Linked DNA regions of Coturnix japonica. The protein of the gene in region 3 interacts with the protein of the main gene of each other region in a pairwise test. Links are inferred from orthologs where the notes say so. Each region holds a gene or a part of one and is shown on either strand. Other genes may lie near its edges.

Region 1 (4,200 bases), on a different chromosome or scaffold from region 3:
GGAGGTGGAGCAAGCATGGAGTTCACTTACCTCCGGGCAGACCCGCACTTGAATTCTCTTCCATTTCTTTTCTCCCCTGGATCCAAGCACTGTTTTGCTTCACTTTCTCCTTTGCTTGTACAGGGACTTGTCTCCCCCCTGGTGGGGCAGCTGACCAAGTCCTACCCCTGGCAGGGCCACCATCCCGCCTTGGCCTCAGGAACTGCAGCCGAATGCTGGTAGACCTGATAAGTGCAAAGAGCCGCAGTGATTCATGGTGGAAGGGGAAGCTCCTCCCTCCCCTCAAAGTTAGTTTCGTTGCGGGGAAATGAGTGCATGTCACCGTTACGGTATGCCACGAACTCACAGCGCGCAATGCCTGCCAGCCAACCAGTGACAGGCACTGTGGAAAACTCATTAGGAACTTTCCCCGCAGGAGATGAGTTCACGCAGACCAAAGATCTCAGCTCCCAGCTGGAGGGGCACCTTTACCCCCTGGGCTGCCACTGTAGCTCAGATTTCTTACTAAGTGCAAGAATTTAGAGTGCATGGGTGTACATCCTGTGGCTCTCCCAGCCTGGCTCCTGTCCCTCCCTTCCCTGTGCTGTTCTGCTTGCAGAACAAGGAAGCACAAAGATGACGTGCCCTCAGACACTTACCAGGCAGGGCTGGGGCTGGTCAGGGATCCAACTAGAAGCAGCGAGGCAGCCAGCAATGGCCCTGGGGCTCAGCCTTGCCCTGGGGCTGGATGGAGAGTCCTTTCCCTCAATACACTCTGAATCCTCTGCTGTGGGTGCAAAGGTGAACCCTGCCCTTCCTCAGGCGCCCAGGCAGGATGCTGGGAGCTGTAGTTTTCCTCCTTCCTCTCCAACACGGCCGCCTCTTCCTTGACAAGCAGCATTTCGTCAGCAGGGCTGTTTGCTGGAGCGTTCCTTATTATCCTTCGGGGCTGTATCTGTGTTGTAGGTTTAGATATGTTTGGGCAATGCTTTTCAATATGGCAATGCTCCTTGTTGTGCTTACAAACAGTAGATACACTCCATCTTTTCTCCCCTCCCATCCCAGGACCTAATGCATAGGAACCAGTGACATGGGAACCTCACACCAAGGGAAAGTATCAGCACAAGGGCACCAGATCAGGATACAACCTGCATACAAAGAGCCTCAATACAGCCCAGCACCAAAACAAAGCGTTTTTAATGCTGCGTATAGGAAACCTTCAGTCCTTATTGGCAATGGAGGCAGAGTGTCAGAAGGGATCAGACCCATTTCAGGTCCATAAACAGCCAGTGCAGAACTTGGCAGGGATGTATCAGCAATGGAAGGTGCATTTGACCTGTTTATAGCGATAGGTAAGACACAACACGGCAGACATATTGTACCACCCCCCTCCTTCCACCCCTCCCCACCGCTTCCGCGTCACACGGCTCGCGGCCGGAACTAAAGGCGACTCGGGAAGTGAGGTTGGCGGAGCCGCCCCTTGCGGAAAGGCGGCAGCTTCGGTGCGGAGCGGAGCGGGATAGCGGCCGGGATGGTGGGGGACGGCGAGGAGCAGGGCCCGCCGCACGGCCCGGAGCTGAAGCACAGGAGGAAGAGCCCCCGGTTCGCGGCCGAGTCCGAGCCCGACTCCGGTGTGGTGCCGGAAGGTGAGCGGGGCGGGCGGGCGGAATGGGGAAGCGGGCGGGGAGCTGATGGGGGATGTGTGCGGAGCAATGAAAGAGCGGAATCTCGTTGCAGGAGGAGAGAGGGTATTCGGCACCCCGGGCAGCCTGACACGGCCCCCCATCCGCGCCTACAGGGCGGCAGGTGAGTCCCGGTCGCCTGCTGAGCTGGAGCATCCATCCGGCTGTACGGGTGGGACGGTGCGATGTACGGCTGTTGTTTGCGGCCTTAACGATGGCTTTGTCTTTTCAGACTGGTTTCTTTTCTATGAGCACCCCTTCAGTGCTTTATACGGCTGGTCAGCCGGCCCTGACCTTTGCTTTGTGACCTCTGTCACCTTGCTGGACTTTATGCTTTCTGTTGGCAGTGCTAAGTTGGGTTTTGGCCTCTGCTTGGCTGCAGGGTTGGACAAACACTGTTGGTGTGGGTTCATGTCTTCCCAGCTGCCTGAGGGGTTCAGTGAGGGACATGGTGCCCCACAGAGAAGCAGTGCATCTTGCTCTGAGGTGTTTTTAAGCTCTTAAAAGAATCAGTCTATGTGGCAGCACATACAGCTGTTGGCAGTGGATTCCAATCTGCTGTAAGCTTCTCAATTCTTAATTGCTTTTGGGTGTCAAAAGTAACTCTTGGGAGATCACAACTAGGAAGACACAGATTATATGTTTTAAAACTGCACCTTGTCTGTTGGTTTAATGATGAACACTCATTGTACTGCAATTATGTCTGCCTCTTTTATCTCTTTTTCTAGGTAAGTCAGGTGGTTCTTCGGCTTCCTTCCTTCCAGAGAGCCCAGCAAAGGAAGAAGTGGATGACTATGATGTAACTGAACCCAAGAATCCATCAGAGGACCAGCCTAATGTTTATACACCACTGAAAGGTAACTGTACTTAAATGATACCAAAGGAGGAGCTGAGCTGGAACCTAGATGGATGAAGACGTTTAATATATTGTTCTGGGGGGAGCTGGTATCTAACTGCTTGAAGAATAAGGGGGTGGCTTGCATTCATCCAGTCAGTAATTGCTTAATCACACAGTGCAATTCATTGCCTGTAAGAGAACACTGACAAAATCTAGGCACGAGCCAGGTGCCAGGCCCTTCTGGGAGATGTGGCAGTTTTCTTCCTTAATGGACAGATTTGAGAGGCTATCACAGGTCTGGTATGGCAAGACACTGTACTCTTTCCCTGATAACCTCTAAAGAATTCATAGCAAGACCTAAACGCGTGTTGGGAATGGCTTACTATTATACACTCTGATGTGATCACAGCTTTATTTCTCATTTTTGCTTTGGTTTCAGAAAGTAAGGCTGACTTCTTGGAGAAAACTCAAGAGCACCATTCTACAAAACCACAGAGTAAGTGGAGAAATAGATACCAATAGATACCAAGCCCTTCCCTGTAACTATGAGAACGCTACAGAATTGCTTTCCTCTGCTTCACTTTTGGTTTGTGTTTGTGGTTGTGTATGTGTTGGTTGATGTTTGTTGGTGTTTTCCTCTTGACAGGGTCTGCTGTGCCCTGTTGAGGGTGTCAGAGAGTTGCAGAACAGAGTTGCTCATTTAACCATTCTCTGGCTTAAACCAGAACTGCTTTTAGCATCTACTGTCATTAGGTTCATAGTATGTCATTAGGCTGCTGTGCTTATTTTGGTGCTCTTGAAGTAACTACTGCAGGGCGTGTTTGTTCAGTTTATTCATAATAGTGTCATTGACAGTATCCTGATTTGGTCCTGTGTTATTAAAGAGCCTTCAGCTTTGAAACCAGTTGCTGTAGTTTTCAAGGAGCCAGAAATTCACACGTTGTCTTAATTAACAGACAGAATGAAGAAAACATGCTGATCAATAATTGCACTGTGTATATATTCATACAGGTATCTTGGAAAGTTGCTCATAATGCTCTTTGATGGATAACATCTCTAGAATTTTGCTGTCTGAACCCATTTAAATAAATACACCAAGAGTGTATTTTATTACAGCCTTTCTATAAGCCCTTTCCCCACTGGATAATTGCTGCCTTATATATTTTTCTCATGTTCCTTTCTTAATCTCGACAGGCAGAAGTAAATTCCGAGATAAGCCCAGCACGGGGAAGCAGTCACAGCCCTTGGCCAAAAGTAAGACTTCTGCTTCCACTTCTATTCCATATGTGTTATTTTAACCATTCTCTGGCTTGCTCAAACTGGGCATCCTTACAATTAAAATCGAGGTGGACATAGTGGTATAGCTCTTTGTTGCCACAGAACTCAGTCTGTTTTATTATGGGTTTTACTGGGGATGGAATCAAGCCTCATGCTTGTAGTAGGTCAAACACGTGTTAGTTTAGCTGTTCTAATTCAGAATGAAAACAAAGTTTCTGATGCTCACTGTGCTCCTGTGCACTGTTTGCCATTCTCCAGTAGTATGGAGCACCTGTGTTTGATATGAATAATGCATGTTAATATTTAAGAGGAAACAGCAACAGAAATTGTTCTGGTACTGCCAGGTTTTCTATCAGACTCTCTACAGAAACTAAATGGAGGAACTAACTTGACCTCTTTAAGCGCCATTTTAAGCTGAGTTTG
Region 2 (4,206 bases), on a different chromosome or scaffold from region 3:
GGGGACAGCTGACAGGCCAGAAATGGTGCATTGCACACGCGTGTGCATGGGGGGGGGGGATGGGGAGTATATCTATGCATTCATGCATGGGGTGGGGGTCCAAAGCCCCCCTGGTATTGAGTGGGACTGGAGGGGGGGGGGGTTATGCAGTAGGGCTGGGGGGGGTGAGCAGGCCCTGCAGCGGAAGGGGAAGGGGGGGCAGGGGGGGCTGTCGCTCTGCTCTGCGTCACGCCACGTCACGCACAAAGGGCTGTCGGGTGCTGCAGCCGCTGCTGGGTCCTGCTGCCCGTATCTGCACTGTGTGGGGGGCTGTGGTTGATGGGGAGGGGGGGGAGGAAGGGATGGTGCCCCCATATTGGAAACCAGGGTGTATAATGTGTGGTTGTTTTGGTCATTGAAGAGCCCTAAAGTGGTGCTGTGCTGTGTGCTCTGGTCCCTGTGGGGTCTGTATGCTCTGGGAGGGGAGTGGGACCCCAATAACACCCCTAAAATATACCCCCCCCCCCCTCCAGGTTGACCTCCTGGTCAAGGTGTGGGTGGGTGGGTTGGCAGTGGGGAGGGGAGAGGGGTGGGTTGATGGGGACAGAAAGTCAATGGGGATCCTATGGGGGCATCATAGAAACAGGGGCTGGGGGAGTTCTGGCTACGTGGGGGATCAAAGGGATCAGAGCAAGGAATGTGTGGGCAAATATGGGGGGGGGCGGGCAGAGGCTAAAAGGTGGAGAGGGGGGACATGGGGACACAGGGACGGGAGGGGGGCATGGGGGTAAGAATGGGGGATATGGGTTATACACAGGGAGGATATGGATGGGGCACAGGGAACAAACACTGGAGGACTAAGGGATGGGGGGGGGGTGGTCATGGGGATACGGGGGTGTATAAAGGTGGGGGGCAACTGGCCAGAAGTGGGGGGACCCAGGGACCATCGTGGGGCTGTGGGATGGAAGTGAGGATGCAGAGGGGCAGGGCTGGGGGTCCCAAGGGCTGTCATAGGGGACAGAGGGGGAGCAAACCCGGGGTGGGGGGGGCTATGGGGAGGGGGGATAGATATGGGGACAGAGCTGGGCTGTAGGGACAATGCACAGTGCCAGGGAAGGGGGGGAAACGCGGCCCCAACCATGTGCAGGGGATGGAGGGGGGCTGAGGGGAGGGGGCGGCGGTGGCAGCAGCGTTCTGTGGGTGGGTGGGGGGACACACATAGAGCTGGGGGGGGCATCATCCAGCAGAGCCCGAAGCTTTAGCGGTGAGGAAGAGGAAGAGCAAGAGAGCGTCGCTAAGACCCAGAGGGCTCTGCGGGCAGCGGGGCGGGCGGATCGCGGGCGGCAGCGCTCATCAGCAGCGCAGAGAGAGAAAGGGGAAGAGGAGGAGGAGAAAGGAGGAAGGAAGGAAGGAGGGCCGGGGTGGAGGATAGGGGGGGGGGGGCGCGCTGGGCCCCCCCAGGCTGACGATGGCCTGACCGGGTCCCCGCAGCCCCCCAGCACGGCCCCCTCCCCGTGCCCAGCGGGCGGCGGGCGATGCGGCTCGGCGGTGACGGAGGTTTCGGGGCAGGATGCTGAGGACGGAGGCAGCGAGCGGGGCCGCAGCCCCGGGGGGCAGCGGGGGGACCCCGGGCGGCGGGGCGGGCAGCGGGGGGTTGAGGAGCGCATCCCCGCACCGCAACGCGTACGAGGCGACCATCCAGGCCCTGAAACCCACAAAGGATGCCGAGGGTGAGGACGGCAAGAAAGCCCGCAGCAAGAAGTATGGCTCCAACGTCCATCGCATCAAGAACATGTTCCTGCAGATGGGGACGGCGCCGGGCCCCGAGGGAGCGTGCGACTTGGCCAAGGGCAAGGAGAAGCCGGTCCGACTGTCCCTGCCCCGCACCGGCAGCCTGAGCGATGGCATGGAGCAGGGCAGCACCCTAAAGCTGGGCACCAGCGTGTCCGAGAGGGTGAGTCGCTTCGACTCCAAGCCCGACAAACCCTTCTCCAAGCTGCAGGAGACAAGGAAGATCTTCGAGAGGAGCCCGCAGGAGAAGGAGACCACCACCAAACTGCTGCTGCGCAAAGAACGCGCCGGCTTCCAGGACCGTAAGCTGGACGTGGTGGTGAAGTTCAATGGCAGCACTGAGTCTTTGGATAAGCTGGACACCGAGGCCGTGTCGCCCACTGTCAGCCAGCTGAGCGCTGTGTTTGAGAAGGCTGACCTGAGGAACAACCTGCATAAGACCCCGGGGCGCACGGGGCCGCTCAACTCCAAGCTGGTGAGCAAAAGGTCCCGCGTCTTCTTGCAAGGAGATGGTGGCAAAGCTGATGGCGGTGCAGAAGGAAGCGCTGGGACCACACGGCCACGACCTGCAGAGGAGGAGAAAGTGATGGGCAAAGCCCCGAGGTCGGGGGAGAAGGATGGGAGCGTCCCGCGGGTGCAGGAGGTCTGCAAGATCAAACCCGTGGAGGTGGAGGAGAGTGGAGAGTCGGAGGCGGAGGTGGAGGTGAAGGAGCCCACGGCTGTAAGTGAAGTGGCCAAAGGGGCCGAAGGGCTGGTGGCCCCCGAACCGTGCCTGGATGGGGGCGAGGAGCCCCCCGACACCAAGGAGGGAGGAAAGGGTGAGAGGGTGGAGGAGAGCGAGCTGTATGATGAGTCCAAGAAGGAGGACTTCTCCGAGGCGGACCTGGTGGACATAAGTGCCTACAGTGGGCTCGGGGAGGACTCGGGGGGCAGCGGGTTGGATGAGGATGAGGAGGCGGATGGGCTGTATGAGCCTGAATCCAGCTGCATGGAGATCCCTGGGCTGTCCGAGGAAGAGGAGCCCGTCCCCAACCGCAAGATCCAGTTCAGCACGGCGCCCATCCAGGTGAGTCCCGCCGGGGTGCTTTGGGGGGCCCAAAGAAGGGAGAAGAGGGGAGGTTTGGGGGTCCTCAATCATCCAGCGATGGGGTTGGAAGACATAGAGGTGGGCAACCTCCTGCCCCATTGGCCATGGCCCAAGCTTGGGCAGCCTCCATGCAGCGCTGATGGCACAGAGTGGAGAAGGGCAGAGCGTCTGCAATGTGCCATTGTACCCCAATAGTGAGCACCCACTGCTGGGGACACATGGCCACGTGGGGAGGGGAAAGGGACACGGTATGGGGTGGAGACCTTGGGGCTGTGAGCTGTTGTGTTGGTGACACGTGGAGGATGGGGATGGCACACACTGCCAACCCAGTGCCCCAAAACCACACGTTTTGGGGGTGGAAGCCCATAATATTCATCCAGGCCTCATTTGCTGCCAGGTTCCACCAGCCCAGCCCTGGTCCCCATGTGCTGTCAGTGCTGGGACTCCCTCCGGAGCAGGGAAGGTTGATGCCCACCCCGCTGTGCTCAGCATGGGGACCATTTCAGGAAGTGGAGGAAGGGGAAGTGCCTCATGGCAGCAGCAGGAGCTGCTCATCCCCCTCCTTGTCCCCATATGGGGACAGCTGTGGGATTTGGGGTCCCCCCACCCATTGCCAGCCATGGCACGGAGGGCGATGAGGCCATGCCGTTAATTCAGGGCTTTCTCTGATGCTCGTATCCCCCCGGCTGGAGGAACAGAAATTGCTTTGTGCCTCGCTGGGTTATTTATAGCAGCACGGCCTATATTCTGGCTCTGAGTCAGCGGCGGGTGGGTGGCCCCACCTGGGATGGGACACGGGCACCGCGGTGGCACCGCGTGGGGATGGGGTCCCATGGTGGCCATACACTGCTGGGGGTTCTACACTGCATGGATCAGCCATGCCAGCCCTGAGAAGGAACCCCCCCCCCCTTCGTGGAGCTGTGGATGTGCTTGGAGGGATGCTCTGCTCCCCTGATGTTTGTCCCCTGCTCTGCCCCTCTGTTGGGGGGGACCCCCTGTCACAGTGCATGTCAGCATCGTGAGCCCCCAGAATGGGCACATAGGGACACCCCAGCACCCATAGAGAGCACCCATAGAGAGAACCCATAGAGAGCACCCTGCTGTGCCCAGGGATGGGGGTCCCTGCTGCCAGCCCCCTCCCTGGACAAATCTGCTCCCTCCTGCTGTGTCTCCTTTGGGAGCTGCTCTGGGTCCCCTGCAAGTCTCCAACACCCCAAAGACTTGGGGACAGCACTGAGGGGCACAGTGGGACAAGCTGGGCCATGCCTGGACCCCTCTGGGTACCCTGTGCAGATGGGGGGCAGGTGTCCAGCTTGTCCCTAGGGGTGCCACACGGGTGGGTCCTGCCT
Region 3 (4,204 bases):
CGCTCGTTGTTTTTTGGCTCCGTGCTGACACCGGGGGGGCCTGGCCCAGCCCCCAGCCAGGAGGTGCTGGCAGAGGACAGCGATGCCGAATGCTGAGAGCCCCCATTGCGATGCCATGGCGCAGCAGCTGGCACTGCCTGGCCACGTAGGGTGTGATCCTAAAGCCACATCTTAAGACCCATTACAAGTTTATTCCCCAAAAAAAGCCTCCTGCCCTGCCTTCACTGCCAACTGAGGGGCGGGTCCTGCCCCAGAGGGTACATTTGGTACAGTAGAAAGCGGCAAGGGCAGGATCTGACAAATAAAAAAACGAATGGAGAAAGGAGCGACCTGGTGCTGGGGCTGCTGGCGGTGGACACTCACTTCTTGGCTTTGGCAGAGTTGCGTGGTGGGGTGACGGGGCGGCCAGCAGGGTTCAGCCCACTGAACTGCCCGTACTTGCCCTTGTTCTTGTCTGCTGGTTTCAGAATCTGCAAGGAAGTGAAGGGTGAGTGAAGGGGCTGCAGGCAGAGCCCTGTGTGCTGCCCCCTCCCCGGCAAAGCCCCAGCTCACTTGGAAGGAGCACATGAGGGTCTCGTCCACACTCATCATGGCTCCTGCGTTGTCAAACTCCCCGCAGTAGTTGGGTGCAGAGAAGAGGGTGACAAGCTGGCGTTTGGCAAAGAACTCGTAGCCGTCCTCCACCACCTGTGGGGCAGCAGCACTCATATCTCCCTGTTCTCTGTCCATAGAGCCCACCAACTCCCCCAGGGGGCAGCATCCCCTTCAAAAGAGCCCAACCACATCCTCAAGAGCAAATGGCCCCTCCTGGGAAAAGCTCCACCGTTATGGAGCCCAGGTGAGGCCCGACCCCATTACCTGGTGTGCCCTGCAGATGAGATCGAGGTCATGCTTGTGCAGGAACTTGGCCACCACCTCGGCCCCAAAGGTGAAGGACACTCCTCTGTCATTTTCACCCCATCCTAAGACATCTTTGTCAGGGTCAGACCACAGGAGATCACACAGCAGGCCCTGGTCGGGTACGTCCGTGGGTCGCATGATGCGCCGGATCTGTTCCATCGACTGCAAGTCAGGAGACAGCCCTGCACAGGAGTGTCAGGTTATGCTGTGTGGCGGCCTTTGGACCCAGGCGGCAGCCCCCAGCCCTGTGCCCACCTCCGTGACAGCAGAATATCTTCTCATCCACAATTGCTGCAATTGGTAAACAGTTAAAACAATCGGTGAAGGTTTTCCACAGCTTGATGTTGTATCGCCGCTTGCCTGTGAGGCAGCGGGGTGGGTGCTCACAGGAGCCCTTCATGTGGGCCATGTTCCACCCTCCCCACCCTCTGGTGTATCACAACACACACAGGGCAGCACTGAACCCTCCAGGGGGCTGGGGGGGTGGCCGTGGAGGTGGCTGGGATGGGGGTATGAGGTCTGCAGGAGGAGGTAGCTGGGATGGGGCATAAGGTCTGCAGGAGGAGATGGCTGGGATGGGGGCATAAGGTCTGCAGGAGAAAGTAGCTGGGATGAACATAAGGTCTGCAGGAGATGGGAAGAGCTGCAAATGGGGATGGAAGGGGGGACTTTGGGCTGGCTGTATCATATGGGGTTGGCAGTGAGGTGACAAGGCAGTCCCGTTTGTCAGTAGTGGGGCCGGTGCAGCACTCACACTCATCATAGAAGCCGTAGATGCGGTTGATGCTGGCACATTCGTGGTTGCCACGCAGCAGGAAAAAGTTCTCCGGGTATTTAATTTTGTAGGCCAATAGAAGACAAATTGTTTCTAAAGACTGCTTTCCTCTGTCAACATAGTCACCAAGGAATAGGTAGTTGCTCTCTGGTGGAAAGCCTCCATATTCAAAGAGCCGAAGCAAGTCATAGTATTGTCCATGGATGTCGCCTGTAAGAAGATCGCGGGGGACACGCGGTGACGCTGGCTCCCAGCCCGCCCCCTTCCCCTCCCCCCGGCTCGTCGCTCACCGCAGATCTTGAGCGGAGCCTCGAGCTCCAGCAGGATGGGCTGGCTCAGGAATATCTCCCGTGACTTCAGGCACAGCCCCCGGATCTCGTTCTCTGTCAGCTGCACGTTCTTCCCAGGCCGTGAGCCTTGCACTGTGCGGGGGTGGCTTTCAGCAGAGCCCACTCCACCCCCGGAGCCCGCAGAGCCGCCGTGCCCTAACAGTCCCGCACTAACGCACGGCCCTCCCGGTGCCCCCGGCCCTCTGCAGCCACCCCCCATCCGCCCCGATCGCCCGCAGCCCCCCTCATTCCCACAGCCCCCAGCGGCTCCCACCGCCCGGCTCCCCCCGGCCCCCCGCTGCCCCGATACCCCCCGCTGCCCCACAGCCCCACAGTTGGACCCCCAGAGCCTCGCACGGCCCCCGTTTCCCCGCAGGCCCCGGCCCGCAGCCCCGTTCTCCAGCCCCTCCTTGGCGGCACAGCGCCGGTCCTTCCCTCCCCTAGCGGCTCCCGAGGCGGTCCGGGAGCACTAGGCCCATCGCTCACCCTCCAGGAGGCGGCCGATGATGGAGTCGAGGTTGAGCTTCTCGGTATCCGCCATGGCCGCCGGACGCTGCTTCCCCCCCCCGCCCTGGCCCGCCCCGGTCCCGGCCCCGCGGCCATAGAGAGCGGCCGGGGCGAGCGGCGGGTGGCGAGAGCGCCCCATGGCGGATGGGAGGCCGCGGAGGCGCGTGGGGGCTGCGCGCTCCCACGAGGCGGCGCCGTGTCGTTCCCCGTGCCGGCCGGTTGCCCGGCGGCTGTTGCCGTTGTCAGCCTCGCGGCGCGTGGGGAGCCCCGCGGGGACGTGTGCCGAGAGACACGGTGCTGCCACCGGCTCCACCCGCCTCACTTGTGCCCCTCGTGCCGCCGTGCCGCCCCCACGTGCAGTACGAGCCGCGCGGTGCCGGCACAGCCTGGCCCGTTGCCCGCGGTGACACCGGTGACATTTCAGCCCCGCGGTGTCAGCTGCGCCGCTGTCCCCGAACGACCCCGGCAACTGTCCCCGCTCCGCTGCCGGCTGCGTGTCCCGCTGCTCGTGTCCCGCCTCCCCGTGTCCCCCGATCCGTGCGGCCCCACGTCGCGGTGTGCTCACATCCCGTGTCTCCGTGCCCCGGCTCCTCCGATCTACCCGTCCCCACCCCGACGTTGCTCTGTCACCACGTCCCCCACTCTCAGATCCCCCTTTTCCCGTATCTTCCCTTATCTCCGTATCCTCCGATTTACCCGTCGCTACGTCCCCGTGCCTCGTATTCCCAAATCCCCGTGTCCCCGGATCCCCGTAACCCCACAGATCCTTCTCCCCGTGCTCCCTCGTTCCCCATCTCCATTTCCCCATACGCCCCAGATGTTCTCATGCCCTCGCATCCTTGTCTCCACGCCCCATAGTTCCCTCACACCCCACACCTGATACCCCGCACCCCTGAATCCTGGTGCCCGCACACCCCGCACACCCCCCATTCCCTCTCTCCCCCCCTTCCCCGCCCCGCCCCGCGCCCTCCCCCGGGGACGCCCTTCTGCCACCGAAGGCGCCTCCGCCGCCGGTGCAGAACGGGCACGGCTCCGCGGGCACCGCCGCCACGACCGCCCGAAAGCGACAGCGACCGCCGGTGGGTGCAGGCGGCGCCCGCTCCACGCGTGTCCGAGGGTGTTGGCGTGCGCCGTGCTGCGCGTGTCCGGCGGTGAAATCGCGGGCAGCCGTTGCGCTAAGCCGGGGGACGTGCGGGGCGGCACCGAGCGGCGCCGGGGACGGGCGGGTGGAAGCCGGGGACAATAGGGCTCTGTGCCGCTAAGCCCGGGCACGGGGCCGCCCCACTGCCAGCGGCCACGCGTGACTGCGGGGCACGGCTCTTCCCGGTGGGGCCGTGTGGCCGCACGCCTCAGTGTCCCTCCGGGAGCACGGTGGCACGGCGCGGTACCAGTGGGGCCGACGGTGCGGGCTGCGCCCTGCTCACCGCGACCCCTCTCCCGTCTCTCGCAGCCTCCCGACGCCCGCAACATGGTGAGTGGCGGCCCGGGGTCTGCGGGCGGGGGGCCCCTTCCCCTTTCCCGGCGGGGCTGGGTGGTGCCGGGTGTTCCGTGTGGCAGCGCCGTGCCCACCGCCTCCGCGTGACCCCGCGGGGACAAGGGGACGCTTTGTCCGTGGGCTGGCACCGCTCCCGGGCACCCCGACACCACCGCCCCAGCGACGTCCCGTGGCTGCCCGATGCCTCCCCTGAACCCG
Region 4 (4,137 bases), on a different chromosome or scaffold from region 3:
TTTGCATTTGCAAGGACTTCATACAGCAGAGATGACAGCAGTGCTTCCTCTGATGCTAACACATACCCTTGATTCTGATTCCCAGCTTTCTGGAGAGGCAGCTGAATTAAGGTCAAGTATGAAAATCCAAGTCAAAATGAGAGAGAGAGTCTGAATTAGAATGTAAAGCTTTAGCACAGCAAAGCAGAAGTGTCAGATTATGATGCAGTATGTTTGTCCACAAAAATTACTGCTAAAGAGCATTTCTCACATAGAAATACATCAGCTACACTATGCTATAAAGGACGATCATCTTGGCCTGATGCACTCAGGTAGAGCACCTAATGCTCCACAGGCTCAGAACAGCTGAATACTTCATTCTACCAGCTGCTCCAAGCTGGAGCAGGTCAGGCCGAGCGGCCCCACAGAGGCAGGTCTCAGTTAGACCTGTCTGCAGCTCCAGCAGGTGAACTCTGGTACTCACAACAGTCACAGCACATCCCAGTACCTTCCCTTTCCCACTGACTGAACAAATTAAGTCAGTCTGTTTCTAGCTAGTAGCATCTTCAACATCTTGTTTTTCCTATTTTCTACAGTAATTGCTATGAACCATATCAGGGCAACGACAAAAACCTTCCTCTACCATTTCCTTTTTATTTTTTTCCTAGCAACTTCATAAATGCAGCCTCAAACATGGGAGACAAATATAGAACACGCCATCAGGGCACACCTTCATCTGCAAACACCGTGAAGACGTACCTAAAAGTACAAGCTGCATCATGATGAAGACACTTGGAACACGACGATTCCCCAGACACCAACTGCTGCAATTCCACAGTAGATCCACAAAACGGAACGTTTCTGAACAAGGAATCCAAGCCAGCCTTGCCAGAATCTGCCATCCATTGCCACTTCCTGCTCCCCAACTGCCTCCAAAAGAGAAATCTCTTCATCATGGGCACATTCCAGGAGCTGTTCCACAGTGGTCACTACAAACACCTCCCACAACATCTCCTTTCCTCCTTTTTCTGCTGAGCACCATCTTTCCAGCACAGCACTCGAGGCTGGGCACATCAAAATACTTCTCCACCATCAGAGAAGCAGCCCATCCTGGTAGGTGCCCAACTGGGGGATCATGAATTAACTCCAAAACCCATCACTAGTTTATGAAATGTCCATGAAATTATTCCTAACGTTACAACTCTTAAGCAGGAGGTTGTGTGTGTTGGTGAGCTGAGAGGGCTGCAAAGGTTCAGAGCGGGGTCTGTTATTTATTCTGAAAGTCATCAACGACTGCCAGTCCCAACACAGGAAATCAAAGCGACTTCCATGGGACACAGGAGGGAAAAAGTGACAATATAGCAGAGGCTGCTTCAAAAGTGCGATTTGCTTAGTGTGACTTCCCACTGCAACAGGTCTGTGACAGCATCAGAGAAGCTACATCCTCATCTCTGAGCTTTGGAGGATACGTGGTGCAGTCTTGATAGCAGAGCAATTCTCATTTCATGGGTTACTCTGAGAACACTCAGTGCCTGCACTGACACTGCCTTCAAACAGAAAAACCAACAACACTTCAGGACAAGAACAGACACCAAGAAGGAAAAGCCTGCTGCCCAGAACTGCTGTGCCCTCCCTCATGGCCTGACAACAAGGCAGCATCATTGGGAAATTTCTCACATATTTCATAAATGAGAAAGCTAGAATTTAGCCTCCAAGAAAATACAAGTGTGACCCAGGGCTCCTCAGGGCCTTCATTTCTCCCAGAACTTTCTTTTAGAAGGAGCAGCCTCGAGGCAGGCGGACAGAAGGAATAACTCATCAACAATGGAAATTGCCTTGGGAAGGAAACAAATGGCAAGAATGTAGGTCCAAAACCAAAACAAGGGTGGGATCCACATCCAGCCCTGATACTTTCTGTGGAACAGCAACCAAAGCGCTGAGCTTCACAGCTCCCCTCGCACTGCTGCCCTGCCCCGTCCAGCTGCTCCAAGCTACACCGACACAACTCAACCCCAGCGCATATCTGTGTCGAGCCCAACGGAATTCAGTCCCAATTCAATTTTACGTTCAGAAGTATCAATAAAGCACAAAAAAATGAGTGAATGATTGAGGCGACTGCTACCTATCAGAGCAAATAAACCTCCCCGCAGTGATTCGTGAGAATGGGAGAACGCACCGCCCGTGCGTGCCTTGAGATAAACAGGAAGACAAGGGCTCGAAGGCCGCCCGGTTACCTAACGCGGGGCCGAGCAGCCGGGACCGCATTCCCGTCGAGGGAAGCGCCGCCCGCCCCCAGGAGCCGCGGCCCCGGCGGGAGCACCGCATCGATCGGAGCGGGGGAAGCACGGCGCGATCAGCGCGGCTCACACGGGCGGCCGCTGCACAACAGGTCGCAGCGCGGCACGAGCGCAACGCGGGGTCTCGGGAGCCGCGTCCGCTCGTAGCGGGGCAGGACAGCGCTGCCTCAGCCGCGCCCCGCAGCCCCCGCGCCGCCCCCCGTGTCTCACCTGCTGCCGCCAGCGGAAGCGGAGCCGCCCGGCCGCTCCCCAGGAGCAGCGACAGCAGCACGGCCAGCCCGGCCGGGCCGCCCCCCCGCCGCCCGCCCGCCGGGACGAGCCCCCCGCGCCGCCTCATGTCCTCCGCCGCCGGGCCGCGGCTCGGCGCCCAATGAGGGGCTCGAGGCTCTCAGCGTCTCCGCGGAGCTCCTGCTGCAGCCGCTGCTCCCCGCCTGCGCGGCGCGGCCCACGCGGCATAGGCGTCCCCGCTCCGCTCACACGGCCCCTCCGGCCGCCGCCGCCGCCGCCGCCATCTTCCGGGCTACCTGACCGAGAGGGGCGGGCGCTCTGCTGACCGACAGCCCGCTGCGCCAATCGAAACGCGTCCCGTGTTCGGGGGGCGGGACCGCCGGTCGGGACCGGGCGGATCCGAGATTGACGGCCAGATCCGCCAATCGCACCGCACGGGGCGAGCTGGGCCCAGCGCAGGCTGCGGCGCGAGAACGGAGCGGCGCGTCTGCCAATCAGCACACACGACCCGCGCGGAGGGGGCGGGGCTTCCCCTGGAGTGAAGGAGCTCGGAACCAATCAGCCGGCACCGTGGGCATGGGGGCGGGGCTACGGGAGGAGCCCGCCTGAACCCGCGCGCGGGACCGACGGGACAGCGGGTCGGGCTGTGCGGCCTGGGGTAACTGCGCTACCAACGGCTCACATCTGACGTGTCTGAATCAGCTTTTCTTCCACCAGAAATATTTTAACTGGATAATAAGGTGGGAGACAATGTTCCGTTGTTTATTCTGCTCCTGCTAATGCTCGAGGTACTTTGTGACAGCAGCTGAGCAGCACGCCTTGCTGCGGCCCGTCACCTTCCAGAGCAGGCGCCAAGCCGGGCACTGCGCATCGCTGCTGTTGAGGTACAAACAGCTCATACCGCAGTGCAAATAGCGCCGTGTGCTGTGGGCACAGCTCAGCTCAGACACTTCTGAGATCTGACACTGACTTCATGCGAATTCCACAAGAAAATCACCCCGAGGTTCACAGCAGCTGCAGACCTGAAGCTTAAAGCTTCGTTTGCAGCCTGTCAGCAGGTTTGCAATGCAGGGGTGTTCTCATTTCAACAGCCAGAACAATTCAGTGCACTCTAAACACGGCAGACTGCCTCATTTCAGAGCCCGCCCTGTCCTAATTGAATGCTAAGCCTTTGATGTAACTTACTGATAACAACATGTTGTGATACTATCTGGGGAGTTACGGCACCGTGTCATTAAAGGACTCGTCAGAGCACTATGCTGTAATGACGGGACACGTAAGGTGAGCTGTGAATTAGTCACCGGCAGAATAAGAATGGTTATAACCAGCCCTTCAATTCCTTGTTCTGCCCTAGTCACAAGTACTGCCTATCTCCAAACACCCCGTGAGCATCCCAAACAGCCACACAGCACCTGATCTCCACAGCCTGTTACCATTCCCCTGTCTGCAGCTTAACGTTTGTAGCAACTCTGGGAGACTAAAGGGATGAGCAACCCGCTGCCAAGGAATGCAAGAGGTACTCATACAGAAAATATATTTACTTAAATAAAACAAAACTCTTCCTGTACACAAGATGGGATGTATTACACAGCACAGTCTCATGTCTCTTGATTATGCGCTGTTAGCACTGCCA

What was found. The genes of interacting proteins can lie anywhere in the genome.
Region 1: the proteins of PPP1CA (region 3) and torsin-1A-interacting protein 1-like interact in a two-hybrid assay, tested with the Homo sapiens proteins (2 studies listed by BioGRID and IntAct). The link is inferred for Coturnix japonica from reciprocal best matches to the Homo sapiens genes PPP1CA and TOR1AIP1.
Region 2: the proteins of PPP1CA (region 3) and PPP1R9B interact in binary tests that used the Homo sapiens proteins (3 or more experiments, as listed by UniProt). The link is inferred for Coturnix japonica from reciprocal best matches to the Homo sapiens genes PPP1CA and PPP1R9B.
Region 4: the proteins of PPP1CA (region 3) and LMTK2 interact in a two-hybrid assay, tested with the Homo sapiens proteins (2 studies listed by BioGRID and IntAct, with this or other methods). The link is inferred for Coturnix japonica from reciprocal best matches to the Homo sapiens genes PPP1CA and LMTK2.

Annotation. Positions count from the first base shown.
Region 1 is NC_029523.1:5,654,550-5,658,749, forward strand, and holds the start of torsin-1A-interacting protein 1-like, read left to right. Parts: upstream 1-1,400; 5' UTR 1,401-1,510; coding exon 1,511-1,625; intron 1,626-1,716; coding exon 1,717-1,785; intron 1,786-2,389; coding exon 2,390-2,518; intron 2,519-2,938; coding exon 2,939-2,995; intron 2,996-3,693; coding exon 3,694-3,753; intron 3,754-4,200. Other genes in the region: torsin-1A-interacting protein 2-like, read right to left, coding at 31-64. UniProt on the Homo sapiens protein: Required for nuclear membrane integrity. Induces TOR1A and TOR1B ATPase activity and is required for their location on the nuclear membrane. Binds to A- and B-type lamins. Possible role in membrane attachment and assembly of the nuclear lamina.
Region 2 is NC_029542.1:2,575,945-2,580,150, forward strand, and holds the start of PPP1R9B (neurabin-2), read left to right. Parts: upstream 1-1,406; 5' UTR 1,407-1,549; coding exon 1,550-2,836; intron 2,837-4,206. UniProt on the Homo sapiens protein: Seems to act as a scaffold protein in multiple signaling pathways. Modulates excitatory synaptic transmission and dendritic spine morphology. Binds to actin filaments (F-actin) and shows cross-linking activity. Binds along the sides of the F-actin.
Region 3 is NC_029520.1:170,044-174,247, forward strand, and holds PPP1CA (serine/threonine-protein phosphatase PP1-alpha catalytic subunit), read right to left. Parts: upstream 2,801-4,204; 5' UTR 2,651-2,800; coding exon 2,491-2,650; intron 2,098-2,490; coding exon 1,966-2,097; intron 1,886-1,965; coding exon 1,655-1,885; intron 1,261-1,654; coding exon 1,156-1,260; intron 1,083-1,155; coding exon 859-1,082; intron 688-858; coding exon 553-687; intron 471-552; coding exon 360-470; 3' UTR 172-359; downstream 1-171. Other genes in the region: cell cycle checkpoint control protein RAD9A, read left to right, coding at 1-96; CARNS1 (carnosine synthase 1), read left to right, coding at 3,980-3,982. UniProt on the Homo sapiens protein: Protein phosphatase that associates with over 200 regulatory proteins to form highly specific holoenzymes which dephosphorylate hundreds of biological targets.
Region 4 is NC_029529.1:1,153,225-1,157,361, reverse strand, and holds the start of LMTK2 (serine/threonine-protein kinase LMTK2), read right to left. Parts: upstream 2,801-4,137; 5' UTR 2,614-2,800; coding exon 2,487-2,613; intron 1-2,486. UniProt on the Homo sapiens protein: Phosphorylates PPP1C, phosphorylase b and CFTR.